4 linked regions of the Elephas maximus indicus genome follow. The protein of the gene in region 4 interacts with the protein of the main gene of each other region in a pairwise test. Links are inferred from orthologs where the notes say so. Each region holds a gene or a part of one and is shown on either strand. Other genes may lie near its edges.

What was found.
Region 1: the proteins of FATE1 (region 4) and BIK interact in binary tests that used the Homo sapiens proteins (3 or more experiments, as listed by UniProt). The two-hybrid records come from large-scale screens. The link is inferred for Elephas maximus indicus from reciprocal best matches to the Homo sapiens genes FATE1 and BIK.
Region 2: the proteins of FATE1 (region 4) and LNPEP interact in binary tests that used the Homo sapiens proteins (3 or more experiments, as listed by UniProt). The two-hybrid records come from large-scale screens. The link is inferred for Elephas maximus indicus from reciprocal best matches to the Homo sapiens genes FATE1 and LNPEP.
Region 3: the proteins of FATE1 (region 4) and SEC22A interact in binary tests that used the Homo sapiens proteins (3 or more experiments, as listed by UniProt). The two-hybrid records come from large-scale screens. The link is inferred for Elephas maximus indicus from reciprocal best matches to the Homo sapiens genes FATE1 and SEC22A.

The regions. Positions count from the first base shown.
Region 1 is NC_064822.1:187,371,816-187,379,445, reverse strand, and holds the start of BIK (bcl-2-interacting killer), read right to left. Parts: upstream 3,069-7,630; 5' UTR 3,008-3,068; intron 1-3,007.
Region 2 is NC_064820.1:104,522,267-104,529,677, reverse strand, and holds the start of LNPEP (leucyl-cystinyl aminopeptidase), read right to left. Parts: upstream 3,296-7,411; 5' UTR 3,132-3,295; coding exon 3,113-3,131; intron 1-3,112. UniProt on the Homo sapiens protein: Release of an N-terminal amino acid, cleaves before cysteine, leucine as well as other amino acids. Degrades peptide hormones such as oxytocin, vasopressin and angiotensin III, and plays a role in maintaining homeostasis during pregnancy.
Region 3 is NC_064819.1:14,015,373-14,023,279, forward strand, and holds the start of SEC22A (vesicle-trafficking protein SEC22a), read left to right. Parts: upstream 1-4,735; 5' UTR 4,736-4,804; exon of another isoform or gene 4,805-5,232; intron 5,233-7,907. UniProt on the Homo sapiens protein: May be involved in vesicle transport between the ER and the Golgi complex.
Region 4 is NC_064846.1:4,707,740-4,715,542, reverse strand, and holds the start of FATE1 (fetal and adult testis-expressed transcript protein), read left to right. Parts: upstream 1-4,646; coding exon 4,647-4,749; intron 4,750-5,712; coding exon 5,713-5,869; intron 5,870-7,803. UniProt on the Homo sapiens protein: Involved in the regulation of endoplasmic reticulum (ER)-mitochondria coupling. Negatively regulates the ER-mitochondria distance and Ca(2+) transfer from ER to mitochondria possibly implicating it in the regulation of apoptosis.

The sequences.
Region 1 (7,630 bases), on a different chromosome or scaffold from region 4:
TAAAAGATAACATTCTATACGTCTCCATTTAAATAAAGTTAAAAAAACAAGCAAAATTAAAAAATGCAATTTGCTGAGGGCAACAAAGTGTCAAAACCCCTCAATTTAAAAAATTCAAGTGACAGTGGCCCTCCTTGAAATAACCAGGTGGGCTTCCTCCTTCGCCCCTGAGTTTTGCTGTCTATCCGGGTGACCAGGTAGGCACCATGTTTTCTCCCACCTCAGGAAAAACAGGTTCTGTGTGCGATGCCTGGTGAGGCCCGGAGAGTGTTTTGTATTGTCACATCCCTGTATTGACACTAGGAAAATCAGCTGCCCGCCTGCCACCCGGCCTGCACCCTAGCCACCACGCCTGCCCTCTCTCCCGCCTACCTCTGAGCCAACCAGGAACCTGGGTCCCTGCACTGGTTTGCTGACAGTCTGTGCTGCTCCCAGGGCCCAGCCCTGGAGGACAAAGGGAGGCCGAGGAAGCGGGTGCACATGGCCACTGCAGACCCCACTGTCAGCTTCCTGGAGGCTGCCGCCAACAAAACCCAAGAGCTTCCTCATCGCTGCTCGGAATTGTTCTGAGATCCACTAAGTCCGAGGCAGGGGAAGCAAGAAGCCATTAATTGTCCACAAACTTAATGCTAAAAACAGGATACTTTCCAGGGACAGGGAAAAATGCTGCTGGCTGCTTCAGCTTCAAAGCTCACTGATGGATCAAACTCTCCCAGTTACCACCCTTCGCTTGTTTCAAGAGAGACGACCAGAAGTGAAAAAAAGAGCTGCTAACAGCTCGGTGAATCCAGATGTCATTTATCTGTTATTGTACCTGGTTGTTGTTGTTGGCTGCCTGCAATTCACCGTGACCCCGTGCACAACAGAACGAAGCACTGCCTGGTCCCACGCCATCCCCAAGGTCAATTGCAGGTCAGTCCTTTGTGAGCCCGAGGGTTTTCACTGGCTAATTTTCGGAAGAGATCACCAGGCCTTTCTTCCTAGTCTGTCTTATTAGTCTAGAAGCTCCACTGAACCCTGTTTAGCATTCTAGCAACACACATGCCTTCACGACAGAAGAGTGGTGGCTGTACACAAGGCTTACTAGCCAGGAATCGAACCTGGGTCTCCTGCATGGAAGGCAAGAACTCTACCGCTAGACCACCAACACGCCCTGTTACTATTCCTGCTAGCTACCTAAAACTCGCCAGTCTCCCCAGATACTTTAAACATTTTTTAAAAATAGCAAAAATAAAGAAAAATTGTAAAACCTAACACAGGCAAGGTGTGAAGAAACCACAACTATACAAGTCCATGACCTAAAAGTTCAGAAGATAGTTTTCAATTCTCACATCCTCAGTGAGAAGGAGAGAAGAGTGGGCAATTGATGAGACGTGGGAGGAGCAGGGAGCAGTAACAGCCAGGCAGCTCACACCTGCCCCAGCGCCAGTGAAATCCAGGCCCAGCAGAAGGCTCCCGTGGCTGCCTTTCCCTGGAGGGCCTAGGGAGAGGGGGCCCACCAGTGTCTCAGATCCACTGTACCTCACTCTTCACCAAGAGATTAAACTGTGCCACTCCTGAGAATTTATTCCAAGAGCAGGCCAAAGTGCTCAAGAAACTCAACGTAAATGGAGAAAGGGTGAATGGTGACCCTAGAGGAATCACTGACAGCCACCAACACGTGGGCGGGTGTTCCTTTAGAATATGGTATTACCATCATCCCCGGTTTACAGAATGAGAAAACTGAGGCTCAGGGAGGTGCAGCAGCCTGTCCAAGGCCACACAGCTGGAAAGTGGAGAGTGCAGGCAGGCTTGGCCTGACTTCCAGGAAAGAGTTCTGGGCTCTGAGCTAGAGCAATCGTAAGGCGTTCTGGGATTCCCCTCTGGGTTTCTCCATCTGTAAAATGAGGCTTCCTGTCCTTGCAGGCGGCCAGCACCGCCGTTAGGAGCTTCCTGCCCTACCAGACCTAGCGCCGGGCTCAACTGCCCCTTACTAATGCGAGAACGATGAGGCTAACAGTGTTCCCTCCTAGGGGAACTGGAGCGAGGATTACCAGAGAAAGCCACATGCACGGGCCCCGGCCACAGCAGGTGCTCAGAAAATGTTCCAACGCCAGCAACAACAAAAACAACACCTCCCTCCTGGGGTGGATCATTCCAGCGAATATCAAAGTAGCAATTAATGGTTTACACAGCCGATTCGCAAGCAGGAGTCCAAAGCCAGACTGCGAAAGTGCAACAAGTCCCCAGCCGGCCAGGGCTTGTTGTGGCCGCGCATAGCAGGCAGCGGGGACCCCCTCCCGGGCCACTGGACGGAACGTGCCGCTTCGGCCATTCAAATGCTAAGCGCGCGAGAGCCCGTGGCTCTGTGTTGACAAAACAAGGCCAGGCCCCCACGCCGGGTTCGCGCCCCAGCTCCGCCCGCGGAAGCACCTGTGCTGGGGGCGTGGGCAGGTGCGGGCGGTGGCCGCCCCGGCTCCGGTGGCAGCCCCTGTTCCGGGCTTTCCCGTGTGCCATAATCAAGCCTGGCTCGTCGCCTCTGCAGGTCTGCGGCGGCTCGGGGTGCCTCGGGTCCCGGCGGGGACAGGTGTCCGACGCCATCTTCCCTTTTTTAGTAGACACCGGGTCTCTGCCGGCACGGCCCTGGGCTGGGATCCGACTCCGTGCCCTTGGCCCCTCCTCCCCCCCGCCAAGGCACCCCGAAATCAGAGCCCGGCCTAGGGAGGCCGCGCAGCCAGGTGGTGCGTTAGCGACCGGGCGCAGGGGCGTCACCCCACTGCTCAGATGCGGAAACTGAGGCCTGCAGGGTGGCGCAGTCGGATGACAGTACCCAGAGTCCCAAGCCAGAGAGGGGGCGCTGCGAATCCGGGGTCCCGAGACGTCGCCCCGCAGACACACCCGACACTTCTCAGGTCGGAAAAGCCTGGGCCACGGCCCCCATCGGCCACCCGCCGGACTCTGGCCGGGCGCAGGGGCGGATGCCAGCGGGGCACCGGGCACGGCCGGGGCGCCCGGGGCTCAGACTTACCTCGCGGCGGTGGCACCGGAGGCGGCGGCTGCGTCCGGGGCTCGCGAGCCGGGTAGCGTATTGTCTGCGGCTCTGCTGCCGGCGAGGGACCGTACAGGCCCGCCGGGACCCGCCCTCTCCCCGCCCCTCGGGCCCCGCCCCGACCCCAGGGCCTGCCCGGACCCGACCGCCCCCCGCAGCCCTCCACCCGGCCCCGGCCGGCCCGGCGCTCTGGGGCCTCTAGTTCACCCACCCCGCTTCGACCCCCGCCCGCCGGGACCCGAGGCCCCCAGGCCCAGACCCGTCCCGTCCCCGCCCTTCCCCCCGCCCCAGGGAGCGGCCTCCCCTGCCCCATTGCTCAGATGAGAAGACTGAGGCAGGAGTGGCAACAGAGCTGCTACAAGTGTGATCTGTTTACTTGTTTACCTTCTCTGATTCCGCTAATCTGCAAGCTTGTTTTGTCCCTTGCGCTGCTCTTTTCCCTGCGCCCAGCATGAGGCCGTGCACCCAGCAGGCCCAGAGAAATGAATGTTTGTGGAGGCCCCGGTAACTTCATCTGGGTCTGTGTAGATCAATCAAGGCTCGTGCCACGGATCGCCTCGCTTCGTCCTCAAAAAAGTCCTAAGGGATCGGGGCTTTTTCATGTTTATTTTCCCGAACAAGAAACTGAGGCACAGGGAGAATGAAATGACTGGCTTCATGGTAAGTGATTTCAGCGCTCAAAACGTCGTACTTTCTGTGCAGACACCTTCAGGAGTCTGGACTTTTTAAAGCCGTTTCACACAGGTGGAAGCTGAGGCTTGGGCTAGAGCCAGCATCAAGCACCCCGAACCAAAGCCTGGGGGCTTTTCTCCACCCTGCCCGCCTCCCTCCCGCCCCTGTGCAGGCTTCAACCGCAGCCCCCCTCCCGCCCTGAGACTCGCGACAGCGGGAAAATAGGGGGCGATTAGGCACCGGGCGGCCCACGTGGGGGCCGGGATGAGACAGTGCCCACAACCTCGCCAAGGAGGAGAAGTCAAGAAAGGTCCAGGCCGGACTAGCCCTGGGGTGGGGAGGGTGCCGAGCCCCCAGGCCAGGAGCCCTGCAGCGGAGGCTTTGGATGGGTGGAGGGGTGACGGGGTAACAAAGTTACCATTGTCCCGGGAACACAACAACAAGCTTGTTTACCGCACAGGCCAGGCATCCACAGGGTCTCGCCTCCAGCTGGCTTCGCATTTGCTACCTGTAGGGGCCTCATTCTTAGCGCCTTTGAAGTGATGACACTGATAACTCCTCTCTCGGGGTCTTCATCTGTGAAAGGGGCCTGGCGCTGCCCCTGCAGGGCTGTTGGGAGGATCAGAGGAAAATGTTTAGTAAACTGGAGGGGAGTTTAAACGTCAGTGCCCCTCCCTGGATCTCGTTCTTCAGACCCCTTTCCAAGCCAAACCTATAGTGTGTCTGTAATTTTCTGCACCTTTTTGATGTGGTAGTGCTTAAGAACTCAGCTGCTAACCAAAAGGTTGGCAGTCCGAATCTACCAGCTCCGCTCCTTGGGAAACCCAGGGGACAGTTCTGGTCTGTCCTACAGGGTCACTGTGAGTTGGAATTGACTTGATGGCAATGGGTTTGTTTTTGTTTATTTTTGTAAAGAGGAGCCCTGGTGGTGCAGTGGTTAAGAGCTGGGCTCCTAACCAAAAGGTCAGCAGCTGAAATCCACCAGCTGCTCCTTCGGAACCCTATGGAGCATGAGTCTGAATCCACTCAATGACAAACTTTTTTTGCTTTGTTTTTTGTAAGGAGGGTCTTCCAAATTACATAAAACTCCAGGCCCGCAAAGCCTGGACGGCCTCAACCCCTTGACTGGACCATAACCACAGGGCACCTGAGAGGCAGGAACAAGGAGCCCTACAAAATAGTAACCTCTCTCTACACCCATTTTGCAGATGAAAAAATTGAGACTGAGAGAGGGAAAGCAGCGATTCGGGGTCTCCTGGGCCAAGAAGCCTCAATGTATGTGAGAATACTTCCAGAGAGATCAGAGGCTTGGTACCACGCACACAGTTGGTGCTCAGCAAACATGCTGAGAGCGTTGGTCTAGAGGAGCTGCCTTGGGGGGCCTCTGGATCCTGCCAGCCCCAGCCGAGCCCCCCTGCTGTGGCCCCAACAACATCTGTCTGTTGTTCAGCGACCCCTGCCCAGTGGACCCTCTGACGCCCACTACAGGTTGGGTTTTGTCCTTGCTATGACTTCATCTGTCCATTTCATTGCACAAATATTGATTGACCTCTACTATGGTGCCAGACACGGGGGTTGGTGATGGGACTCGTGAGATGGCATATGCGAGTGGCGGACAGGAAGATGGGGCGCCTGCAGCCAGGGGAGCAAGGCCTGGCACAAGCAAGGCCTCCATGAAGGAGAGTGAAGCGCGGTAGGGGGTGGAGGGGAGCAAAGGAGGGGGTGGGGTAGAATGGACAAAGAGGGCTGGACAAGCACTTGTTGGCCAAGTGCTGGTCTCACACTCCAGGGCCCCACCTAGGGGGCAGAAGCCAGTGCAGGTTTTAAATGGCTCTGTTTTTGCCATCCCAGCCTTGGGTTGACACCTTATCTGGAAATCCCCCTGCTCCCCGGCTTTGGGGAGGCTTTGTGGAGGCTTTGTAACATCAGGAAGGCGGGACTCATGAAAGGGCTTTGCTGTTCTCACCTAAGCAGGGCCTGAGCCTCATGATAGCATTTCACCTGCGTCAGCCTGGTGGACACCTCCTGGGGACACCTTTGTGGGGTGAGCTGCTATTGAGAGCCCAGTGTTTTGGGCATGTTACCTGGGTGATTTCTTGTGCCCTTCATGGCCCTTGCAGGGTACGAATGATTCTCTCCATTGCACAGATAAGGAAACTGAGGCTCAGAGAGGGGCCTAACCTGTCCAAGGCCACACAACCAAGAGGTGAAGTGCTGCGGTTCGAACCCAGGGTGTTCTGTTCCTGGGGGACAGGGACTTGGGGGCCTGTAACTGGGCTTCCAGAAGTCTGTGAATTCCAAAAGTAAAGTGAAATTGCGGTTGTCATATAAGCCTTTTCTGGGGAGAGAATCTGTAGCCTGATGGGTGAGGGCCAGAACTCTGCAGTCACTTGGCACCTGTAATTCCAACTCTGCCACCTAGAACGTCTGTGACCTTGGGCAAGTGCCTGGGCCTCTCTGAGCCTCAGTTTCCTCATCTGTAAAATGGGGATAATGATTTTCCACTCCCAGGGCTGTTCTAAGGATTAAAGCAGAGCATGGGGCCTGGCACACAGTAGGTGCTCAGTAAATGCAGAGCAATGCTCAGTAAATGTTACTGTAGAACTGGTGAAGAGTTATCATGTCCACAAAAGAAACTATACCTTAGAGACATGTGGTCTGTTAAATGAAATAACGCATTTCACAAATCAGTGTGTCTGGTGGAAACGTGTATTTTTTAAGTCCACATATAAAAACTCGGGAAGGAAATACAGCTCCACAGAACAGGAGGACTGTTACTCTCTGGGTACAACGATTACAGGGGGGTTAATTTTCCGCCTTGTGTTTTTCTGTATTTTCCGGATTTTCTATATAAACGTGTATTTACTTAGTAATCAGAAAACATCTTTTTTGGGGGGGTGGGGTGGGGAGTGTCTTGTCTCAGGGCTGAGCTGAGCCAGAGACAATGGCAAAAGCTTAGTTTCAAGTCAGACAAAGCCAAGACATAATACAGAGCAGGATCGAGACTGAAAGTGACCAAGACCTCAGGAGACAGAAAACTAAAATCTGGCTCCGGAGACGGTGCAAACATATCAGGAAAGGCTTCCTGGAGGAAGAGGAACTTGAGGGGACCTTGGAGAAGGGGCTGGGTTTTCACCAAATGGTATAGGGAAGAAGGGCATTTCAGGTTGGGGAAACAGCAGGAGCAAAGAAAGCGTTGGGTGAATTTGGGAAGCTGCGAGCATTTCTGGAGCCCTTTTTTTTTTTTTTTAGTGGTGCACTGGTTAAGAGCTCAGCTGCTAACCAAAGTCAGCAGTTCGAATCCACTACCTGTTCCTTGGAAACCCTGTGGGGCAGTTCTACTCTGACCTACACGGTTGTTATGAGTCGGAATCAACTTGACAGCGACTGGGTTTGGTTTTTGGTTTGGAGCATTTCTGCTGGTAAGAGGAAGAGAGGAGTAAGAGATCAGATGGAAAGGTGGATTTGACTAGATTGTCCTAGGGGCACTGGGGAGCCATGGAAGGCCTCTGAGCAGGAGAGAGGGACTGGATCCCAGCAGTCTTCAGTAAGAGGAATCCGGTAGCCATATGGAGGCGGACTGGAGAGGAAACAATGCCCTTAGTCTCTGACACTGCCCAGGGCTCCTGAAAGGGGCATCCCAATAGCTGCTCATCCAGCTGCCCCTCTGCAGCTGGCCAGGGCAGCTCCTTCACTTTGTGCCCTGCACATCTGGCCAGCAGCTGATGTCCACAGTTAGTGAGGCCCTTTGTGGACAGGGATGTTACGCACAGAGCGGCTGGGAACTTTATTACATCCCATCTTACACGTGAGGACGTGGAAACTCAGGGAGGTGTGGATATTGGGCAGAGAGGTGTGGGGCCTTCTTCCCAGTGCGTCAGCTTGAGTGTGGCCTTAATACATGAGAGTCTCAGTTTCCCCTTCTTTCTG
Region 2 (7,411 bases), on a different chromosome or scaffold from region 4:
CCTAATCCAGTACCTTTATCGAAAGACCCAGGGCGTTGCCATCAAATCTTTTATAATATGAAAATGACTACTTAATAGTTTCATCTCCACCTGCTTACGAGGATACACATCACTGCCAAACCTCTCATGAGCACTGGTCAGCATACTTCTCTCCCCATTAAAAAAAAAGGCACCAAAGATCCAAAACAAGACAGGATGTCACATCTTCAGAACAGCAGTCAGCAATCCCTCCCAAGGGCAAGGCCAAAAATATCCCCCGAGCCAAATTCCTGGCATAATGTCCTTCTTTTTAGCCCTTTCTGGAGATGTGCATTTTAAATGGGTTGCAGCAGTAGTTACCTTGGACAGGTGTTCATCAAATAAACTCACTATCAGCAGACAGAGAAGGGCCTGTGAAAAATGGGCCACACCAGGAGCAAGTTTTGACAGAACACAGGAAAAGTGCAGAAAGTCCTACTGGAACAGGTGAATGTTGAAGGCAGGAATGACAAGAAAAAAACTAAATCTGCCTCCTTTACGAATGTGCAGGCCAGAGGGTAAAGCCACTGACTAGATTTTAACTGAAAGATACGTGCTCCTGAATTACGGAAACTTTCTTCATTAAGCTCCAACATATCTCTTAAAGAAATATATGAGAAAGTCTAAGTATGTGGTGAAGGTTTTATTATAAGATAATGAATGTATAACCTAAGCCAATACCAAGCCTGAAAAATCCTGTAATTATAAATTGTATGAATAATGAAATACTCTGCACCAGAACACCCAGACCTATAAAAGAATTACATGTACATATCCTCTGTATTCAAAAGGATTATGTACAAGATAAACATACTTTCCACTACACCATATCATGTCTGAAGACCTTAGAAAATTCTATAGCTATGACTTCAAAGGTTATGAAATACTCAGTCCACCTTAAACCTAAAAAGTACCTCAGATCACTAACATCTAATTTCTTACTGACTTTAGATGTTGTAGTTTCTATTCTTCTTGTTAAAGGACTCTAGATAAGACACCAAGTAGTGATTAGTACATTAACTAAGATGATACACTGCCAAAGTGTCTCCAGCATGGACTGAAAATCTGAAAGACATGTAAGAAAGGATCAGAAATCCAATTTCCTATATGGAAGTTGAAGCATTGCTTCTTTTTTGTTCTCTCTGGAATTTTTCCACCACCCTAGGACAGAGCAGAACTGCCCCAAAGAGTTTCCAAGGAACGCCTGGTAGATTCGAACTGCTGATCTTTTGGTTAGCAGCCACAGCACTTAACCACTATGCCACCTGCGTTTCTGTCCCAAATGTAAAAATTTTGAAAATGTTAACATCTAAAGAAGCATATTCTATGGGATGAGAAATTTAAGACTTGAGAATGTATTTCAATGCTACAGGGGCAGGTTCACCAAATCAAATAGCCCTAATCTTGACTCAGCCTTTTACTTACATGAAATCTCACACTGAAAATCCTACAGATACAGAGGCTCCAAGCATTCTACCTCAAAGAAAGAATAAACCTATAGAAGAAAAAGCTCTGGACTATTCATTTCAAAGACTTAACTACTTGCATTAAGCATATTTTACACTAAAGTCCCTAAGGTTCCTTTCCGCTGAAATCGTCCTTAATTCTCTGAGTAACTGTACCAGACTATCCTTAGAACTTGAGTAATTAAAAACAGAATCTGAATGAGCAAGAGAATTCAAAATTAAAGTTATCCTCATTAAGTCTAATTAAACAGTACAGACAGAAAAATGGAAGCAGAATAAAGCATTCTGAATTAGGGACAGGGAGAATATAATGAATAGTTTGCATACTCAATTGACCTCAAGAAGGAAGCACAAAATTCAATGCAAGCTGGAGTTTGGGATATAGCTGAAAATATTTGTCTCTCAGGTAGGAACTGGCCCACCCAAACGGAAGCAAAACTTCGGCTTCTACCCCAATGCCGTCGGGTCGATTTCGACTCATAGCGACCCTACAGGACAGAGTAGAACTGCCCCACAGTTTCCAAAGAGCGCCGGGTGGAGTCGAACTGCCAACCTTTTGGTTAGCAGCCGTATCACTTAACCACTACGCCACCAGTGTTTCCTTTGGCTTCTATTAACGCTATAATCCAACTATCTGAAGTAACCGACCAACTGCAGGAAAACACCTGTCAATAATAAGGTGAATTTCCAAATTTTCAAGTGAATTCTCCCTTGCTGGCAGTTTTTCTACTTTCTATCCTAAAAGGAAATTCATTTACTCAACTCCGCGAAATGGTTACATATCTCACCCCCCTATCTTGTGACTCCAGCACTTCCAGTCCAAACAAAAGCCCTCGTTTTTATTCTCGCCACCAGTAAAGGGCTGTAGCTGTTTGCAGGGCATCCCGCAGGCACCTACGTAAACTCTCGCCTCAAACAATATCGTGGTATCACCGTGACGGACACTTGATATTTAATTAGTCCTCGACTGAAACTGATATCATCGGGAGCCGGTGAAAAGAAGCTTGAACGCCCTGCGGAGAGCCTCGGCGACAGGAGGATGGCAGTGCGGACTGGCACCTCCTCGGCATGGGACACGGGTGAGCAAGCCTTTCCGCAAGTTTCCCTTCCTTTCACTAAATTAATCTACTAAGCCTCTCATCCCCACCCCGCCCTATTAGGAGAAGTCACGCCGGCCACTCGCTGAAGGACAGGGAGACAGCTCCCGGCGCACTAGGGAAGTTGGCTTTGGCAGGGGCCGCGGCTTAACCCTTGCTGCCCAAGAGCCAGGATCGACACCGCCCTCGCCGAGGGCAAAACCGGCTGCCAACTTTCCCGCTGTCCCCTCCTCTGCGCACAGCACCCCAAACTTTGCCGTTCGTCCGCCAGCCCACCCGGCCGCACCCGAGCGCCCCCCCCACTCCCGGCCGGCGGAGGAGCTGACCTTCAAAGATAGCCCCCGGCCATGTGCGACCACTGCCCGACCGCCGAGTCTCCAGGCACCTCCCACAGTCCCCCTCCGCCGCCCCCAACCCTCGCGCGAAATTGGTGGTGGGGGCGACTGCAGCCCGACCCCGCGTATCCCGGTTACCCACGACCCTCTGGGCCAGAGCGAGCCCCCGCCCTGGCGCCTCGGGCCGCTCACTCACCATTGGTAAAGGGCTCCATTTTCCCCCCACCGCGGCTCCTTGCACCTGGAGCGCCCAAGCTTCCTACTCTGCGAGCTGAGGCGGCCCTGCCGACTGAGCATGCCCAGCGCGGCCGCCGAGGGCTGCCGGGGAGGTGCCGCGAGGGGCAGCGCCGCTCCACGAAACCTCCACTCCGGGTTTTCGCGGCGGCTGCAGAAAAAGACAGTGAGGCTTGAGGCAAAAGCGCGGCTCACGCTGGGGCCGACTTCGGGGAAAGGCGGGGGAGGAGAAGGTTAGAGCTGGGGCGGGGGCGGGGCCGGGGCAGGGCCGAGACTAGACCCGCCCCTGCCAGAAGGACCAGCGACTCTGCTCTCTCCACTAACAAGAAGTGTGTTGAGTCGCTCAACAAATGTCAGGTCCTACTGCGTCTGGCCCGGTCCAATGTGCCGGGAATCCAGCATTGCGCCGGAAAAACATGGTCCCTGCCCCGTGGAGCGTACGTTCCAGAGAGAGACAATAAACAAGCCCAGGTGACTAGTTAGACTGGAGTAAACCCCCCCGCAGAACATTAAATCAGGGTGGTGGGCTGGAGAGTGAAATTAAATCAGGGTGGTGGGCTGGAGAGTGAGGGAGTGGCTAATTCGGAAGGCGTCATGAGGAGCGGTCACGCTGAGGGGGTGCCTTGAAGCCGAGATAAGAAGAGACAGCGGGAGTCAGCGGGCGGGAATCGCTCTCTAGACGGCTAAGCTTCTGTTTCCTTGGGGAGATTGGCCCCGGAGAACTCAGTTCTCCAAGGCCCGAAAGAGCAGGCGCCACGAGTCTCGGAAGGGCTGCCCGCCTGCGGCAGAGCGACCCCAAAGGGCCGGTCCTCAGGGGACTGAAGTGGGGGGAAGCCCCATCGGCCCGGGTGCGCCCGGGTTGCCGTACTCCGCTGGAGGCTCGGGGCGTGGCCTCCCGATGCTGTCGGATCACAAAACACGGGGCGGATCGACCGGCCTGGGGCCGCGCGTGCCGCAGGATATGGGTCGGCCAGGGGACCTTAAATCAACACCTGCGGCTCCCGGGGAGTGCGGACGCTGGGGCCAGCCGCGGGGCGCTAGGCCCGGGGAGCCGACACTCCTGTAGTCGCCCGAGGCCCCCGGCACTCGCGCCATGGCTTCCAGCCCTGAGCCACCATTGTTTCCAGTTTCAAATCAAGGAAGCCCCGGCAAGCCTCTGAGACAGAACCGTTAGGGGCCGCGTTGCCCCGGGGCAGGCTCAGCTGGGCGGCTTCCTCGTCCCTTGCTCCGTCTGTGCTTCGCTGCTACCCTCGAGGCGGAGGCCGCCGCCTTCTTCCCCTCCCTCCTCCCATATCCCCGGCCCTTGCAGCGACTTGTCTCCGCTGCGCCGGTCTGCGCCTGCCTACTGTCACACGCTCCTCCGAGGCTGTCAACAGGAGGGCGTTGGATGCGAACAAGACAGCAGGGTGCGCACGGCCTGGGCAAACAGGCACGACCTGGGCGTCGTTTGACCCGCACAGGAGTTAGAAATTAGATTTCAAAGAAATAAAATTGTGGTACATAGCGGGTTGTTTTTGTAGTGCGCAGCGTTTTTGCAATATTGTATTTTTAAATGTACTACCCCCTCTCCAAAACCTCCGCTTACGCATGGAATAAAATCTGAACTCTTTGCATAACTCTGGAACTGCATCTCCTACTCTTGCTCCCCGTGCTCTTATTACAGGCCTTTGTGCCTCATGCCTTTTCTGAAAATCGCCAAGTTCCTTCCAGCATCGTTAACCACTCCTCTTGCATGTGCCTCGTGCGTGAACTGTGCCTTCTGCCTGCTACTTGGCCTGCTAGTTCCGTCTTGCTATTTACGTCTCAGCTCAAGCTCAAATGTCACCTCTACACAGAGCCCTTCCCTGACCATGCAATCTAAAATAACCACAAACACAGTCCACTCTATATAGATTTGCCCTGCTTTATTTTCTTCATAGCACCCATGGCTGTCAAACAATGTTTTTTATTTGTTAAATTATTATTTATCTCCCCCTCAGGAATGCAAGTTCTATGAGAGCAGAGTCATTACCTTTTTTAGGGCTGTACCCCAGTACCTAGATAAGCATGCAATAAATAAGTGTTGAATGAATAAGTGAATGGGTACAGTGGTATTTAGAGTTCAAGTTCACTTCCAATGCCGAGAAAGTCTCAGTGTTGAATGATGTGTTTGTGATTAGTACAGAGAAAGTGTCTGCGTGGTATGATACCTCAAAACTGCTCTCTCCCCACTGCATTAAAGATAGTAAGAGCCCTTTAGGCTGGCTCCCTGCAGGGCACTTCAGAGCGAAAAACAGAAAGTGAACCACCAGGGCTGGGGCATCTGTGTTCCTATATGATATAGTATATGCAGATCTGGGTTTTGTTAAAATGACCCAACAGATTCTATTGCTTAGATAAGAGGCTCTTTACATTTTAGGTCATCTTCCTTTGGGGTTATTTTTGCAGCCAAATCGCTTAGTATCAGAGATATTTAAAACTCCACAGCTTGTTGACTCACCTCACCTGTAAGCTACAGTCTGTCATGCTTTTAAGTGTGAAGCACGTTGTCTTGTTTTGTCTTACATGCCTCAACTCTGCAGAGACTTGTGATAAATATTTTTGCACTAGCAAGTAAGTAAATCATGTCTTTTTGAGATTTCTTTGACAAAGAGACAAATAATTTCTTTATCCTTTCTTTGTCAACCTTGTCCTCATTCCTCTGCCATTCCTACACCTGTGTGCCTGAGCACATACCCACATATTAAGGGCTATCTAAAGACTTGCGGTTTTGTATTAGAGATAAAAAGAATAAAAACCGAAGTCATTCAGAATCCTAGCTACCCTCAAAAGAACAAAAATGAATTTCATTCCTTTCATTTGTTTGTTTTTTGATACCATTTTACATTTGACTTCATAAAGCCTTTTTGAGGGAACATGATTTCACAAATTTGCTGCTAAAACACATTATGTTTCTATCTTAATCTCCTCCTATCCTCCCACACAGAATTTCCTCTTTAGTTGAAGCATCTAACACTTTAAATTATTATGACGTTACTACTAATTACCAGAGGAGATAGTGTGAATTATCTACTATACCCATCTACTATTTTCAGAATCAGTCTACTGTTTAAAATTTGAAAACCAAAATTTTGGAAGGCTAATTGTAATATATAATAAATAGTATGAAAGGAAACTTATGAGCACCCTGGATAACAAACAGCATTCATTTATGAAGAACGAGCAAACTTGCTAATCAATGAATGTAGGAACCTTTCCATCAAAATAAGGCACTTGGTTTGTCACAGATCAGCTAATCCAAACCTCATATTTAAGAGATGAGGGAACTGAAGTCTAGAGAAGTTAGGAGATTTACTCACGGCCCAGCAGCAGGTATGGAATTCAGGTCATCTGTATTCTAAGCCAGTGCTCTGGAGTTTGCTGTTGTTCCTTATTCCCACAGCGAAATTAGGGCCAATGACAATAATTCATGAAAGAGATATGGGGTAAAGAGAAATACAGCTAACTTCAGGCTACTATTCCATTCCATATCAACTTTGGTTTAGCATTATTACATCTTCTAACTATTCTGAAATAAGCAATAAAATACATTAATTCCATGCATACTTTTGAAAATGATAATATTTGTTCAGCACTCATGAGTAAATGGAGAATGCTTCAACCAGGCCCAGGGTGACCACTGTGATGTTTCCAGATACCCCAGACCTTACTTAGCCACTGCAAACACCAAAGGAGTCAATAATCTCATTGCCTCAGCAACCTGTTCTGAGTGCACACGCTTTGCGTAAATTAATAATATTTAAAGTTATACCAAATTAAGAACTATTTAGAGCGCTAAGGAAAACAAAATAAGTATCCAACATTCTTACAGAGCCTAGGAATAAGCAAAAAGCTCAGGCAAGTAAAGTGAATAGGTTATTATCAGGAAGGAAACCCTGGTGGTGTGGTGGTTAAATGCTATGGCTGCTAACTGAAAGGTCAGCAGTTTGAATCCACCGGCTGCTCTGTGGAAACTCTATGGGGCAGTTCTACTCTGTACTATAGGGTCACTATGAATTGGAATTGACTCGACGGCCGCTGGATTGATTTGGTTTGGTTTTAGTTCAGATGCTTTGTATTACAAAACCAAAACCCTAAATCAAACTAGTTTAAACAATATATGTGTATTATGTCACACAATAGCAAATCCAGAGATAAGGCAATCTCCAGTCGCAGCTCCACAATCTCATCAAGAGCCCAACTTTTCACGCTCTCTGCAGTGATGCTCAGTGTGAACACTTCT
Region 3 (7,907 bases), on a different chromosome or scaffold from region 4:
TTCTTCTGGTTGTGTTTTATATTTTTCTGCTTATTCATGTGCACAGTAACTTTGAACTGGATGTAGGACATCGTGGATGTTATATGGTTGAGTGTCTGGATTTTATTTTCTTCCTTTAAAGACTGTTAAGTTTCATTCATGCAAGCAGTTAATTTACTTGCAGTTTTGTTTGGGTGGGTCTAGAATGACCTTTACGCCGAGGTTAGTTCAATCTTATTTCTAAAGTGTGGCCTTTTTGGGATCTCTCTACCAAATGCCCCAGGTGTTCCATCAAGTTTTTCCACTCTAGTTGATCAGAGCTTGAATATTTCCAAACTCTCTTCAAGCTCTAGTTGTTGTTCAGCTTACAGCTTTCCAGTAGCTGTTCTTTCTCCAGGAGTTGTTCTTTAACTAGCTTCCTGATTCAAGGGGACCCTTATACATGTTTCTGGAGCACTTTCTCTCTGAATCTTCTCCTCACTGGTACTCCTCCCTGCAAATGTCAGTTGCCTCAGACTTTCTGAATTCCAGTTCTGTCTCTTCAGTTACCAAGAACACAATACTCTGCTTGGCTTCCTCTAACCTGTGCTTAGGTCCACAAATACCTCCAGAGAAGAAATCTGCTGCAATATTTGGGCTAATCTTGCTTGTTTTACCTCTTTCCAAGATCACAATCTTACTGTGTCTATTGTCTGTTGCCTGAAAACACTTATTTCATAGAGTTGGTCCAGTTTTATATTGTTTTTGGTAGGAGGGTTAGTCTGGTACCAGTTACCCATTCATGACTGGATCACTCTTAACATTTTTAAAATGCAAACTTCCTACTGAATAACAAAATACATATTGCAAAGGTATATAAATCATAAGTGTACAGCTTGATGAATTTTCACTAATTGAACACACTGCTGAAACTAGCACTCAGATCAAGAAGGAGAACATTGTTAGAAGTCCAGAAGCCTCTAAATGCCCCTTTCTAAACATTAATACCACTTAAGAGTAGCCAATATCCTAACTTCCATCATCATATCTTTTTTCTGTTTTTGAACACACACACATGTAATAATGTAGCATGTATTTTTTGTGTATGTATCTGGCTTCTTTTGCTCAGCATTATGATCGTGATATTTAACCATATTTTGTGTGTAGCTGTAGATCGTTCATTATCTTTTCTGTATAGTATTCTACTATGTAAATATTTTAAATAAATTTTCTAAATATTCTAAATAAATTTTCTAAATAAATATTCTAAATAAGTGTTCATTATCTTTTCTGTATAGTATTCTACTATGTGAATATTCTAAAATTTATTTATCCCATTTATTGTTGATGGGCAATTGAGTTATTTCTAGTTTAGGGCTATTATGAATAATGCCATCCCCAGCTTTTAGTGAACATATGAATACATTTCTTTCGAGTATATATCTAGGAGTAGAATTGCTGGGTTAATGGACAGGCATATGTTCAGCTTTAGTAGATACTGACAAGCAAGTTTCAAGGTGTCTGCACATACTCTTAAAATTTTAAGATGCATATTTAAAATTAAACTTCTCCAGCACAGTGTGTAGATTTAATCTATCTATTCTTCTCCAAACAAAATGAGAACCTTACCATGCTTTTACTTCAATCACTTTCCCACCATCTCCCATGTAAAGACCACCTGGCAGTTTAGATTCAGCTTATTACTACTTTTTTTTTGTTCAAATAGATCAACATTAACTTAGACTTACCTGGATTGCCTCCCTGCCTTTTAGTCCTAGTCCTTTTCCTCCTAGTCCTAGTGCTTCTTCCCAAGGCAGTGGGGGTGGTGGGGGGGGGTGGGAGGCGGAGGCAGACACCTCTGTTGCCCCCTGCTTGGGCACAAGTGGTGGAGAGGGAGGGGCCAAGGCAACTGATTCCTCCTGCTGTGATATCTCAATAAATCATCCTGATATTAGCTCCATGGCTCTCCCCTACTCCTATTCACCACCTCTGATCTGGGAGCACCGACAAACTAGGCACCGCCTGTGCAGTGTTGTTTGCTTGTTTTTAGGACTTTTTTATGGAGGAGACTAGACCATGTGGTTAGTCTGGCTTCTTCAATTACTTTTTCTTCTAGGCCTTTCTCCTAGGCTTTCTACACTGTCTCCTTAGGTACTCATCCATGCCTTTAAATATTGTCTACACCCCAACCATGAAATTTATATAGTTAGTTCAGACCTTTATTCTGACCTCCAGACTACTTATCCAAATCTGCTTGACATCTCCGCTTGTAAGAATCTCATGTTTAACATATCCAAAAACATTTGCTCCTCCTTCTATGTTCCCTGAATGAGTGAATGAATTGTTCATCTTAATCCATCCAGTTATTTAAGCAGAAAGTCAGAGTCATCCTTAATAGTCCTCTTTTCTTCACCGTTCCTGGCAAACCAATCCATTATAAAGTCCTTGAATTCCACCTCCAACTTATACATGTCTTGAAATTATCCACCTCTCTCCATCTCCGTCATTACTCTAGTTCAAGCCACCATCATCTCTGGCCTTGACTAATGCAACTGCCTCCAAAATGGCCTTCCAGCAACCCCTCTTGCCCTTTTCCAATCTATTCCCACAAACAATTTATGTGAGCTTTTAAATATGTAAATTAGATCATACTTAACCCTCTCTATTAGCTGCACTTTGACCTTAGGATATATTCCAAAATACAGTCTGAAATCTATAATGTGGCCCATAAGCCCTTGCATGGTCTGGCCCCTGCCTCATCTCAGCCCAAACTTCTCCTTGCTCCTTACGCTCCGGCAACACTGGCTTCCTTTCTGTTTTTAGAATATGTCACTTCTTTAATGCCGTAATAGCCTCACACATAATGTTCCCTCTGCCTGGAACATTCTTAAAAGCTCGTTCATATGCCTGGAGTTTAAAAGGCACTTCAGAGAGCTCTTCCCTGACAGTCCAATATTAAGCCATCATCACATCCACTAAATTTTCTTCATAGTACTGATGCAGTGTGATTGATACCTTTTGTGTGGCCTTTCTAGCCATGGTCTTGTAACTCCCACCCAGGTGATCGGGCAGGACTGTGTGGTAGGGTAATTGTGGTCCACCAAGCAGATTGGTCAGTTTTCCTGTTCTGCTGGGTTTGAAATGAGCCACGCCTGAGAATTGTCCACCACCACCACCAAGACAAGAGAAACCGGCAGCAGAGATCTGGCAGCACAGACTTGGCAGCAGAAGTCAGCGAGGTGGGCTTCCCAGCCCACAGAGAGAATAAGCTGAGTGCCTTTGGGCAGAGGCTGAGGGCCAGGGGAGAGGTGTGCCTGCGAGCACAGCTGGGAAGAGGCTATCCTGATGGAAGAACTGTATCCTTGAGTGTTCCCAAACCTGAATAGTAACCTGTTAATTCCCTAGTAAACCCCATAGTTGTGAGTATGGTCTGTCAGTTCTGTGTGACCATTGCAATGAATGATCGAACCCAGCAGAGAAATAGAGAGTGCCGTGGAAGGAATGGTTGGTATCAGAGTTGGTAAAGATGCCAGAGAGAGAAGGCATGTCTGACCTCCAACTCATTGGAATCAGCTGTGGGCTGTTGGTTCATCTTGATTCTCCTTTCTCCTTGTGTCATGGATTAAATTGTGCCCCCCCAAAATATGTGTCAATTTGGTTAGGGCATGATTCCCAGTATTGTATGGTTGTCCTCCATTTTGTGATTGTAATTTTATGCTAAAGAGGATTAGAGTGGGATTGTAACACACTTACTAAGGTCACATCCTTGATTCAACGTAAAGGGAGTTTCTTTGGAGTGTAGCCTGCAGCACCTTTTATCTTACAAGAGATAAAAGGAAAGGGAAGCAAGCAGAGAACGGGGACCTTATACCACCAAGAAAGCAGTGTTGTGAGTGGGGTGTGTCTTTGGGACCCTCACACAGAGCAGCTCCTAGTCCAGGGGAAGACTGATGACAAGGAGCTTCCACCAGAGCTGACAGAGAGAAAGCCTTCCTCTGGAGATGACACCCTAAATTTGGACTTCTAGCCTACTAAAAAAAGCTGTGCTAAAATAAATTTCTCTTTGTTAAAGCCATCCACCCGTGGTATTTCTGTTATAGCAGAACTAGATGACTAAGACACCTTGTGAAGTCAAAGGAGGTCAGACACCACCTCCATACCGTTTTTACAGCTGCTCACAATTTAAAGTCATGTACCAGTTTATATTTTAATGTTTGTTGTTCCTATTACACCTTAAGTTCCGTTGTGTTATGTTCACTCCTGTAACCCAATGTGTAACACGGTGCATAGCACATGGTCAACGCTCAGTAAATATTTGCTTAATAACGCATGGCTGATGCGAAGGCTAGAAGCCTCTGGCACTTCTCTGGGTTAGGTTCCTTGCGGGTGATGGTAGATGGAGACAGGCATTTTCCTCGCTCACCCACAGGGCGCTTTTCCCTTTCCCCCTTTTTTTACGGGGCAGGGTAAGTGTTTGCTGCAGGGCTGTGTGTGAGAGACAGACTGCCTGTAGACCAGGGGCGGCAGGCAGGGGGAATTAGCCGTATTTCTGTGGGACAACGTAGTTTTGTCACAGAACTAAGCGCTCTTCTGGCGCAGGTGCGAGGGACGCTGCCAATCTCCCCTGGAGGGGGCGGGACTAACGCGAGCCCCGGGTGAGGGCGGGTCAGTGTGTCCTTCTCACAGAACCTGATTGGTCTGTGGGAGCCGGGGAAGCGGGGGCGGGGCTTGATTCCGTCGGGCGCCAGCCACGTTGGACGCGGTGCGGCCCCGAGGAAAGGCCGCTCCCTGGCCCACAATGCACTGCGGGAGGCGTCACTCGGAGCGGCGGGTGCTGGCTCGGCAGGTACGGCCCGGCCCCTCCCAGTCTTTCCTGGGCTCCTCGAGGCCGTTCGGACCCGGGGCTGGCCTCTTCCCGTGCGCTCCCCGTCTCCCGCCCAGCCTCGGCCCTAGCCCAGGCTCTGGGGACTTCGAACCTACTCCGGGACAGAAACCGAGCCTGAGCCGTGGGGGCGGGAGCCGGCTGTCGTTGGAGCCGCGGAGCTCTGGAGGGGCGGGCATGCGGGGACCCTGTCTCCTCCTCCGGCTTTAGGGGTCCGTGATCCGCGAGGGCGGCGCTTGCCCCTCGGCTGACCTGCCTCAGGGGGGGTGCTCGAGGGGCGAGGAACAGTCGCCTGGGCTGCCCGCCCGAATGACAAGAGTACGGTGATCCACCTGGCTGCTGAGTTGGACCGAGAGAGCTCGAGGTGGCATTTCCTATTTCTGTTAGGCAGGGTGAGATCTGAATCAGTTACTTTGCGTTTTGTGGGATTGAATGAGCATTGAGCCCAGAAATTAGCCCGCTTTGGCTCGGGGAAACCTCTGGAGGTATTGAGCCAGGAGGCCTAGTTAGTGGCACTTTAGGAACTAAGTGGCGGAAGGGAGACCTGAGCAATTGGTTCGACAGGTGGAGGTGGATTCCGGAAGAGGAGGCCGAGCCCGAGCCGGCTTGAGTCTCTGACAGTGAAAACAGCTTTGGATTTTTCTCCTGCACCTCAGTTTCCTGCTCATTCACCTGGAACCGTAGGTGTGGAGAGACCGAGAACCAGACCCTCCTGTATCTGTTCAGCCAAACAAAACCCAGCTCAGGGCTAAAGTTCCAGCCACCAGCCGACAGGTGGAACTAGCCACTTAAAAAAAAAAAAAAATCTCTGGATCACATTCCGAGTTACTTCTCGTCATTTCTTTACGGTTGATATTGCAGGGAATTAGGTAGTACCTTAAACACTAGCTACAATTCCTGGCATGTGAAGGTCGTTGTTCAGTATTTGAATCAGACACTTGTGACCATGCCCTAAGTTAATGGGCCATCTGGTATTTCCTACATTGAGAAACATCAAATCAATGTAGTTCTTTTTGGGGGATGTGTCACTGATTAAAACAAACAACTAAGTATATTTTACTTTGTTGTGTGAAAGAAGCCCAGGTCCTATCAAAGGGATGACTGACCTTCCTTTCTATGTATTTAAGTGAGAATCTTGGATTTGTCGAGGGGCATTGTCTCAGGGTGATTAGAATTAGGCCTGAGTTTAAATCCCTACTGTGTTACTTACTAGTTTGGGGATTGAACAAGTTACTAAACTTCTCTGGGCTTAATTTCCTCAAAGTAAAACGGAGCTAATAATACTGACCTCCTAGGTTATTGGAAGGCTTAAATGAAGCAATGTGTGTAAAGTATTTGGTCCATAGAAGGTAATCAATAAAAAGAATAAAAAACCTCATTGTCGAGAAGATTCCGACTCATAGCGACCCTAGAGCAAATATTTAACATAGCACTTAGAGTCTGCAAGGCATTGCTTTCAGGTGCTTTACGTTTAATCTTTAACATAACCCTATGAGGTAGATACTATTAATAGCCACAGTTTACAGGCGAGGAAATTGAGGTCTAGAAAGGCAAATTAGCTTGACCGTGGTTACCTAGCTAGTACATGGTGGAACCAAGACTTGAACTCAGGCGGTTGGCTCCTGAGTCCATCCTCTTAACTACTACACTGTACTACTACCTCTTAAAAAAAATGTAAGCTGTCATTCTGTTAGTTCAAAATGAGTAGCTAGATAGTTTCTGTACCAGTGGATTCTTGACCCTTGTTGGTGTTGGGGGACTGATATAGCAACGTGATGTAGGAATACAAGGAACTTAGGTTTAAGTACCAGTTCTGCCATATATTAGCAGTGTGACAGTGAGAAAGTGAACCTCCATTTCCTCATCTGTAAAATGGAGCTTCTGCCTACCTCACTGTTTAGAATTCTGAGGTGCTACACCTATGTTGGGGATTGACACATTTGATCATCATCTAGCTGAAATGGACAGGTGAGGATTAATTTAGTCTCTGAGGTAGAATACCTTTGAAAAAAATCATGAAATTTTAATCAGAATTTTGGATTTTCACAGGTTGCCCCTACTGCTAGTGAAGGAGAAGCATCTAGTGGCATTGAGTTTGATGGCCTGGTGGAGAAGAGTTATCATTTAATTTCAGACCATGGGCATTATTTTAATTCAGTGTTCTTCAAAGTATGGCCCTTAGACAATAAACATTGTAATCACGGAGGGAATTTGTTAAAATTGAAGATTCCCAAGCCCCACTCCACAGTCAATGAATCAGATTTTGGGGGGGGTGGGCCCAGCAATCTATATTTCTAACCAAATGTCAGCATTTCTTATATGAACTAACATTTGAGAACTACTGTGTATTTTATCAAGTTTCACTCTACCTGCCTGATTGGTTTCAGACCTAGACCTGTGTAGTTTCTTAATCTGTTTTAGTTTCTTAATCTGTTTTAGTAAAGCCTGACCAGAATTCAATAAAAGAGGCCATTATGATTTATTTTCTGGTAAATCGATTGAGAACAATATTAAAACCAATATTCTTCTGACCTTATGCTTTATTTTAATAAAAAGTATTTTTTCTGATTATAAAAGTAACATGCCCATTGTGGAATATTGTGGAAAATTCAGAAATTATAAAATTATATTCGTCACGCCATAATGCTGTTTCTTGAAGCTAAGCGTTGTTCTCATTTTGGCATCTTTCCTTCCATTTGCTCTTTCTTCATTTGCCCCTCCCTTCTTCAAAACAAGATTTGGAATTTTTATCCTGCCTTTTTCTACCTAACATATAAGCATTTTACCATGGTATTAAACTTTTTTTCACAAACATATTTTTTAGTTGCTGCATTGTATGTCATCATATGCGTGTACTATAATTTGCTTAATCATTTCCCTATGTTGGGTATTTAGCTTGTTTTCAGCTACTTCTGTGGAAGAATGTGTTTCTGTTTAAAAATTTGCCTGAATCTCTGATTTTGCTTCTCAGGATAGGGTCATATATTTGAATTTATTGGGGTCAAAGGGGGTAAATATTTTTAAACTCTTGTTGAGTATTGCCAAATTGTTTTGAGAACGGTGTTTT
Region 4 (7,803 bases):
AGAAAGGATCTTCCCCTAGAACCTTCAGAGGGAGCACGACCCTGCTGACACCTTGAATTTGGACTTCGGGCCTCCAGAACTGTGAGACAATAAATTCCTGTTGTTTTAAGCCACCCAGTGTGTGGTCCTTTGTGACAGCAGCCCCAGGAAATGAATACAAGGACCAAAGCAGGTTCTTTGGGTTGACCAATCAGAAGGGCACTGTTGACCTTTGACAAGGGGCTGTTTTATTGACGGTGGGTGAGTCGCTGGACTAGAACAAGTAGTCTGGGAGGTGAGAAAGTGAAGACAGTGTGCATGGCATGGGTAACACTCTCAGGGAGCAGCGTAAGGACAGTAGCATGAGTGAGACAAGATGCTGTGGTCATTTCCAACTCAACTACTCTTGAATGAGTGCCTACCATGTGTCTGTGCTGTGCTGAGTGCAGGCGGGGAGACAGAGAAGGAAGCAGACAAAGTCTCTGCCCTCATGGAGCTCACAGCCCAGTGCTGGCAAAAGAGGTGAAGAAGATGTTTATGTATGGAAGAGAAACGTCCAGGCGTGGGGGAGAAGCTGAGGGCCTGGGAAAGCACGGAGACTGCTGACGGAGCTGGAGATGCATCCTACACCCAGGGGAGGGACGACCGTGTGCAGGGCATGGACACTTTGTCCTTTGTAAGTGCAGGAAGGCCTTGGAGGCCATGTGGAAGTTCTAGCAGCTCATGTGCATCAGGCACAAACTCTGTACCAGGAACTAAGTCCCTTCCCTTCAATGACCCCTTAGCCCCCTTTTCAAGGTAGGACCACTGAGGCACAAAGAGGCAAAGTCAATTGCCTAGGTCACACAGCTAAGAATTGGGGAGTCAGGGCTCAAACCCCAAGGGGGGCAGTAAGACTCCAGAGCCAGGCTCTCACCACCCTACCTCCCTGGTGTACACTGCTTGCGAGCAGGAAGTGGAGCTGCAACCTTTTTGCTGGCAATCTGGGAGGGATGGGGTTAGAGGATGTTTTCCAAACCCTTTAGGCCCAGTCCCTCCATGGGACCTCCTGTTGGTCAAGCAAGGCTCCTGGGCTGCCAGTCAGAAGACCTTGGTCTTTGCCCAAGCCGTACCACTGAATTGCTAAGTGAACTGGGTCATGCCCTGGCCCTCTTTAAGCCCCTCTTTTTACATCTGTAAAACGGAGGCTTGGCCTCACTGCACTTGTCATGCAACTTCTCAGAACAGCATTTCTCACCTCTGCCTTCTGTTCCTTCCTTCCCCACGTCTTCCTCCAGCTCGCTCACAGCTCGGCTTTAGAGCTGGTCAGTGTCTGGGCTCTGCACTGTTCTTTCCACCTCTTCCTTGTTGGCTAGGTGCCCTTGGCTCAAGTCTCCATGAAACACAGTTGGCAACAACCCGATCTGAGTTTTAGCCTTCTGCTCTGTGCAAAGAGGGGCCACTGAGGCTCAGAGAGGGGGGATCGGAGAGAAAAGAGCTGGGAGGCAGCCCTCCTCTTCCCCCTCCACCTTCTGTGCTGCTCTTTGCTCCACCTCCAGGCCAGGCCTGAGGTACCCAGGAGTCTTCATAGCTCGGTCCCACCCCGGATGCTCAGGCAGCCCCCTCCGTGAAGGGTCCTGGAGGCTCAGGGAGCCACTGAGCATCTCATCCAGGTGCCTCATGCCCACACTTCACAAGAGTGCTTCCACTCAATAGCAGGAAGGTTCTTTTACCAATCCGATGACAGGGGACAGTGGTTGGACCAGGTCACCCTTTAGGGCCCTCTCAGATTGACAGAGGCCAGTAAGGCAGTGTGTGGCGGGGTTAAGGGCATGACTTCCCCAAAGACAGGCCCCTGCCACTTCCCTCCAGACCCATGAGCTTCCTTCCTGTTGGCCTGTTTTGGCTCTGCTCCCTAGAGCATGAGCTCTGTGAGGACAGGGATCTGGTTTCTATCCCTGGCGCCCAGCACCCAGTAAGTTGATTCAACACAGAAACCTGGAGATCAAGGGGCTCCCTGTGACTTCCTTCTGGCAGCCCTCTCCCCATGGGGTCGATCCTGCGGGCCATCCTTGGTGGCCTTGTCACTGCCCATTGCCTCTCTCTGCTCCCAGGGCCAGCTATAGCCCTTGTGGTTTGACCTTGTGTCTGCCCCTCTGTCTGTCCCTCTGTCTCTTTAAGGCCTCTGCTAGTCCTGGGCCCCTTTCCTCTCCAGCTGAGGGGAGGGCCCTAGGGCTCCAGGGGTGAGGGGTGACCGCAGTACCAGCTGCATCCAGGAGAAGGAGGGAGAATTGTTCACAGGTTCCTAGTTTCATTAATAATAGTAGAGGAAGCTCCCAGGTGCCTGGAAGTTCTGGGTTTGCTCGGAGCTGCAGCTGCCTGAGAAGCTCTGAACAGGGCTGGAGGCAGGCCCTGGGGTCCTCACATCCAAAGGCTTTGTACTTTCCTTCAGGACTTTCAGCTTGAATGATATCTTGCATGGGACCCCAGTATAAGTCAGTGACCAAACCAGAACTTTTATGATGCAGAGGGTCTGGGGTCTGCCTTGAAGCCCAGGCAGCCCCAAATGTACCTTCCAGAAGCCATGAAACACAGTTGACAACTGGATCTGAGTTTTCGCCCACTACTCTGTGTGATGAGGGGCCACTGAGCGTCAGAGAGGGGAAGTGACTTGCTTAAGATCCCCCCGTACCAGGACTAGGAGGCACTCTCAGCAGTTCTGGCCCTGGGCCTGGGTCCCTTCTGCCTTCCACTGCTGCTGACAGGGGCAGTGGAGAGTGAGTGGCAGCCAGACTGGGGGCAGGTACATAGGGAGGTGTGCAGGCAGAGAGAGACTCTGTGGGGGCTGAACGCCCTCTAGATATCAGCAAAAGCTTGGATGCAATTAACTGGGTTTGTTTGGTCCCCAGTGGGGCCTCTGTGCTCACGACTGCCTTTAGGGGAGAAGATGATATGTTTTCTTTGGAGATGCTAAGCTTGAGGGGAAGGAGCGCTTTCATCCTTATCCCTTTCGCTTAATAAAACAGCTCTTATTTTAATAAAGATCCAAGCCCTCCAGGAGATAGTTCGCAGGAAACGAAATACAGAAGGTCAATAAACATATGAAAAATGGCTCAGGTTTATTCATAATTAAAGCAGTATAAATTAGAGCAACAATAACATAGATATCATTTTTCACCCATCATAATGATGCCTTTTAGAAAGTCTCATAATGTCTTCTGTTGATGAGGCCGTAAAGAAGCAAACACTTTCTTCCCTGTGGTGGGCCCCCACTGTGTGCAGCCTCTTTGGATGGGGCTTTGACAATATTGGTCAAAATCATACACACAGAGACCCTGTTGTTGTTAGGGTTGGGTCCTTGTGCTCCATAGGTTTTCACTGGCTGATTTCCGGAAGTAGATCGCCAGGCCTTTCTTCCACATATACCCTCTTGTTGGGTGTTGTCAATTCCAATTCATAGCCACCCCACGTGACAGTGTAGAACTGCCCCATAGGGTTTCTTAGGCTGAAATGTTTCTGACGGCAGATCATCAGGCCTTTCTTCCTTGGAGCCGCTGGTGGGTTCAAACCACTGACCCCTCGGTTAGCAGCTGAGCACTTAACCATTGCACCACCAGGGCTCCTTACATATAGCCTAGAACTCTAATTCCATTCGAGGCACCCGCCCTGCAAACACATTGGCACATATGTGCAAGGAGGCCTGTCCAGGAGTGCTCACTGCTACATTGTTTAGAAAAGACACCGGATCCAAAAGCTCAAAGTGTATGAACAATACACAGACGTGAAGCTGGGCTATCTTGAAAGAACTGAGATTGATCTGCTCTGACGTGGGGAGATCCCCAAGGCCCTCTGTTCGCTTAAAAAGTAAGTGCCAGAAAACCATGTAGCGTATTACCTCATTTGTATGAAAAAAACTGCAAACATATACACACACATAAGCCAGATGTGCTCTGGGCCCCCTTCTCCTCTCCAGGGTCAACTGTCTGGTCTCTGGGAGGGGAAGAGCTTCAGGCCTCCTGGCCTCCCATTGGGATCTTGGGTCTGAAGCCCACCACTCACACATGGCCACTGGCCAACCTCCTGCATGCAGGAGCCGTGTTGCTAGAGGCAGGTCCCTCCTGGCCTGCCTTTCCCTCCCTTGGTTCTCATGGTTCCTGCCCAGGTGGACCCAGGTCAGAGAAAGGCTGCCTCCCCTGCATAGGCACCCTGGGTACGGAGGCAGGGTGTGCTCTGCTGAGAGTTCCTTCTTGGATGGGGGTGGGAGACTGGATGAAGCCACCACTGGCCTGGGAGCTAGCCCTGCTTTGGCTGCTGCCTGACTTTGGGGCCTTGCCCCTATTCCTGCCTCTCCCTAACCATGATGGAGGGTGGACTCCCCCCCCCCCGCCACGTCCCCAGTGGGCCATGGCAGGAGACCCAGGAGTCAGAGCAGTTCCCACAGGCAGAGAAGTCTTATCTCTTCTCCTGAGTTGCTTACAGAGTAGCAGGGGAGAAGGCTTCGAACACAGCCAAGAAGATACAGCAGGAACAGAAGGTGCTGGGCCCAAGGCCTGAGCCCAGAAAGGGAGTCTGGCTCCACCCCCAGGCCTGGGTATATCTTTCTGGGGCTCCCACCCTTCAAAGAGGTGGATTTCCAAGTGCCTCTCTGGGCCCTGCACCTTGCACGTCCTTGGCCATAGCTGATTGGGATGGCAGGAGGCCCCCTTAGCCTCAAGGAAGAGATGGAAGCGTCCTTGGCAGAAGAGCGGTGTCCTGGAGACAAAGGGCCAAGCCAGGAGCAGCTGATGACAGGTGAGGATGCCCTAAAACGTCCCTTCCCTGAGGTGGTTGGCACCTGGGCATGTGTGTGTTGGAGGAGGTGTACACGTGCCTGGGTGGACACTCATGTGTGTGCATATATGTGTTTGTACTTGTGTGAGGGAATGTATGTGTGTGTGCCTTGGTGTGCATATATTTATGTGCTGAGGGGACAGGGGTTCATGATATGAGCATTTTGCAGCTTACGCATTATGTCACTGAACCCAGAGCAACCCATGAGGGAGGAGGGTGGGGGCCACATGTGTGTGCCCTTTGTCTCTCCCTTGTCCAAGCCACCACTGCAGTGATTGCAAAACATTCAGAAGACTCGAGTCACAAGACCGCACAGACCAGTTCTCTCTCCCACTCCTCTAGTGCCTTGCCTGACCTTGGTCTACACGACACCAGGGTCCCTCCTCAGTGCCTCAGGCTGTGGTGTATACACACAACAGCGGCCTCTCCACTCTGCATTAATGCTTGTCCTTATCACACCCTGAGCTTGTGCCTCCCTCACAGCAGTACAGCAATACCAAATCCCTGTATACTTGCTATTTCTTCTATCTGGGATGTTCTTTCCCTAGATTCCTAAAAGTAGTCCTTTCCTTCCATCATGTTGCCATTTTCATCATTTTTGGTGCCTCTATCTCTTTATTTTGAACTTACATTAATTATTTTCTGTTTTGCACAACCACTCCTCTTTAAACACTCACAGACAGTCAATTCCTTGATTGCTGGGGTCTTATCTCTTAGTCATTGCTCTCTCTCCGGTACTGGGCCTTCAGTAAATACTTGATGAGCTTTTGAACTGAGAGCTGGGGTCACTCGCTGGACAGGGGTGAATGGCGCAGTTTGATCCTCAAGAGGTTTGGGGGCCCTGTTCTCTTCGTGGTGTGTCCTTTGCCTAGGAAGCCCTGGTACAAACTCCATGGCTATTCCTGGGGCCTCTGTTCTTCCTAGAAATGATGGATCGTGGGTTCCGGTCCCTGGGTGCTGGCTCCCAGCGGCGACAGAAGTTGGAGTCAAAGGCTGCTGGCTCGACTGGAGTCTCACCAGCTTGGAATACGAATGCTCCCCGACCCAAGAAAGCGGTACTGTATGGGACCTTTGGCACTCGGTGACAGAGTTGGGATTGGGTAGACTGGCTGTAGGGGCTACAGTCGACCATGCTAGGTGGACCAAGGCCAGATGTTGAGGTGGGGGTAGGAGGAAGCTTCTGTGTGCCAGGCAGGAAACTGAGGGTTGGGAGGACCTGCAGGAGGCTCAGGGTCGTCCTTTGGTAAGCTGAAGTTCAACCCTTGGGAGTCTAGAATGCCTGAAACATATATTGCTTGGGGAGTACATATAACTTTACTCTGTATAACTATAGAATGTGTGAAATGGCACTTTATTTTATTTAAAAAACCAAAAAAAAAAAAAAAAAAAAAAAGCCCCAAATCTGAACTATCAATCTTTCAGGGCCAGGACTAGGGTGAGGCAAGTGAGGCTTCTATGCTTCCTGGCCATTAGGAAATCCAATCACGTGAGTCACAAAAATCTGTTGCCAGTCTTTTAAGCTACATTCAATGTGGGTGAGGGAACATTCTAGAAAAAATGGCAGTTACACTGTTGCAAAGGATACTGGGAAAAGGCAATCATTTTTAGAGGAAAGGAGACCGGACCGTTCTAGGGAATTAGTTACAGTAAATGATGAAATGTTCCCACCCCCAATGGAAAAAAAGAAAAAGGTCTCCCAAGTCAGAGACAGCTTGTGAATGAAAATAAGCCAGAAATATTGAACTGGCTTCCCGTGTCCAAAGCCAAATCAAGTTGCTCCTGCAGGACAGGCTCCAGGATGCGACCCGTGCCCCTGAGACTGAGGGAGATGTCACCACTGGGTTAATGAAATTTAGCTATTAGGACTAGAGGAGTGCAGTTTTAAAAATTACAGACATCATATTGAATTTAGAAATGAAGTATGCTACTTGATTTATTAATTTTACCTATCTATCTGAAAATAAAAGAATTAACGAAACTGTTCGTGCCTCTGGGAAAACCATAGCATTTGAAGACAAATAATAATAATACTATCCTGTGAGTTAAAAAAAAAAAATAGCATGCCTTCAAAAGTACATAGAAATAAAAACAATTGATGGAAGGAAGCTGGGACTTAGCACAGTTCATAGATTTTCTTAATGCTGATCCTGTTAACATAAAAGTTTTATGCTTTACAGTGTATGCAATGCCAAGTAGAGAGTATCTAAAATTAAAAATCAAAAAGGCAACAACTCTTCATGAACGGTGGGGCCTTCCTTATCATGGGCAATGGGAAGAAAGGGCATCATCAATCTGGAGATGTGGTTACGGCAATTCTCATTATCTTGATATGTTAATAACAAACCAGGCTACCTCAAAAGAAAAACAAACAAACAAACAAACAAACAAACAACAAAACCGGCCACTAGTCACTCATCTTTCTTTTGCCTTCAAATCTCTCAATTTTTTTTTTTTCTTTTCTGATCCCAATCAGTTGGAAAATCAAAGGATGGTCTGGAGGTTTGGTGTCTGAGAGACTGCTGATTAAGCTCCCCTTAGAGTGCTGGGTCTCCTTGACACCCACTGTCCTTTCACCGCTATTTTTTAGCTATCTTAAGATAACAAAAATAACAAAGCATAACTGTGAACTTCTGTTCACAGAAAATTCTCCCTGATGTCTTTGTGCTCCTTAGGAAAAAGGGGCGTTTTGCATTATGACAACAAACGGAGCACGGTGGCATAGTCCCCGTGAACATCTTTTATGCCGAAATTGTTCCACTTTGTAGTTTAATATTGTTAACGTAAATTACCTCAGATGGCAGATGAGCTTGGGTTGCCTGTTCATTTTTTAAGAAGTTAATTGTGCTAAAATAATATACAATAAAATAGTTGGCATTTTTCCGTGTGCAATTCAGTGACATTAATTACGTTCGCCATGTTGCACAACCACTCCATTTCCAAAAGCTTTTCGTCACCCCCGACGGAAACTCGGGTGGTGCAAACGGTTAAGCACTTGGCTGCTAATCAGAAAGTTGG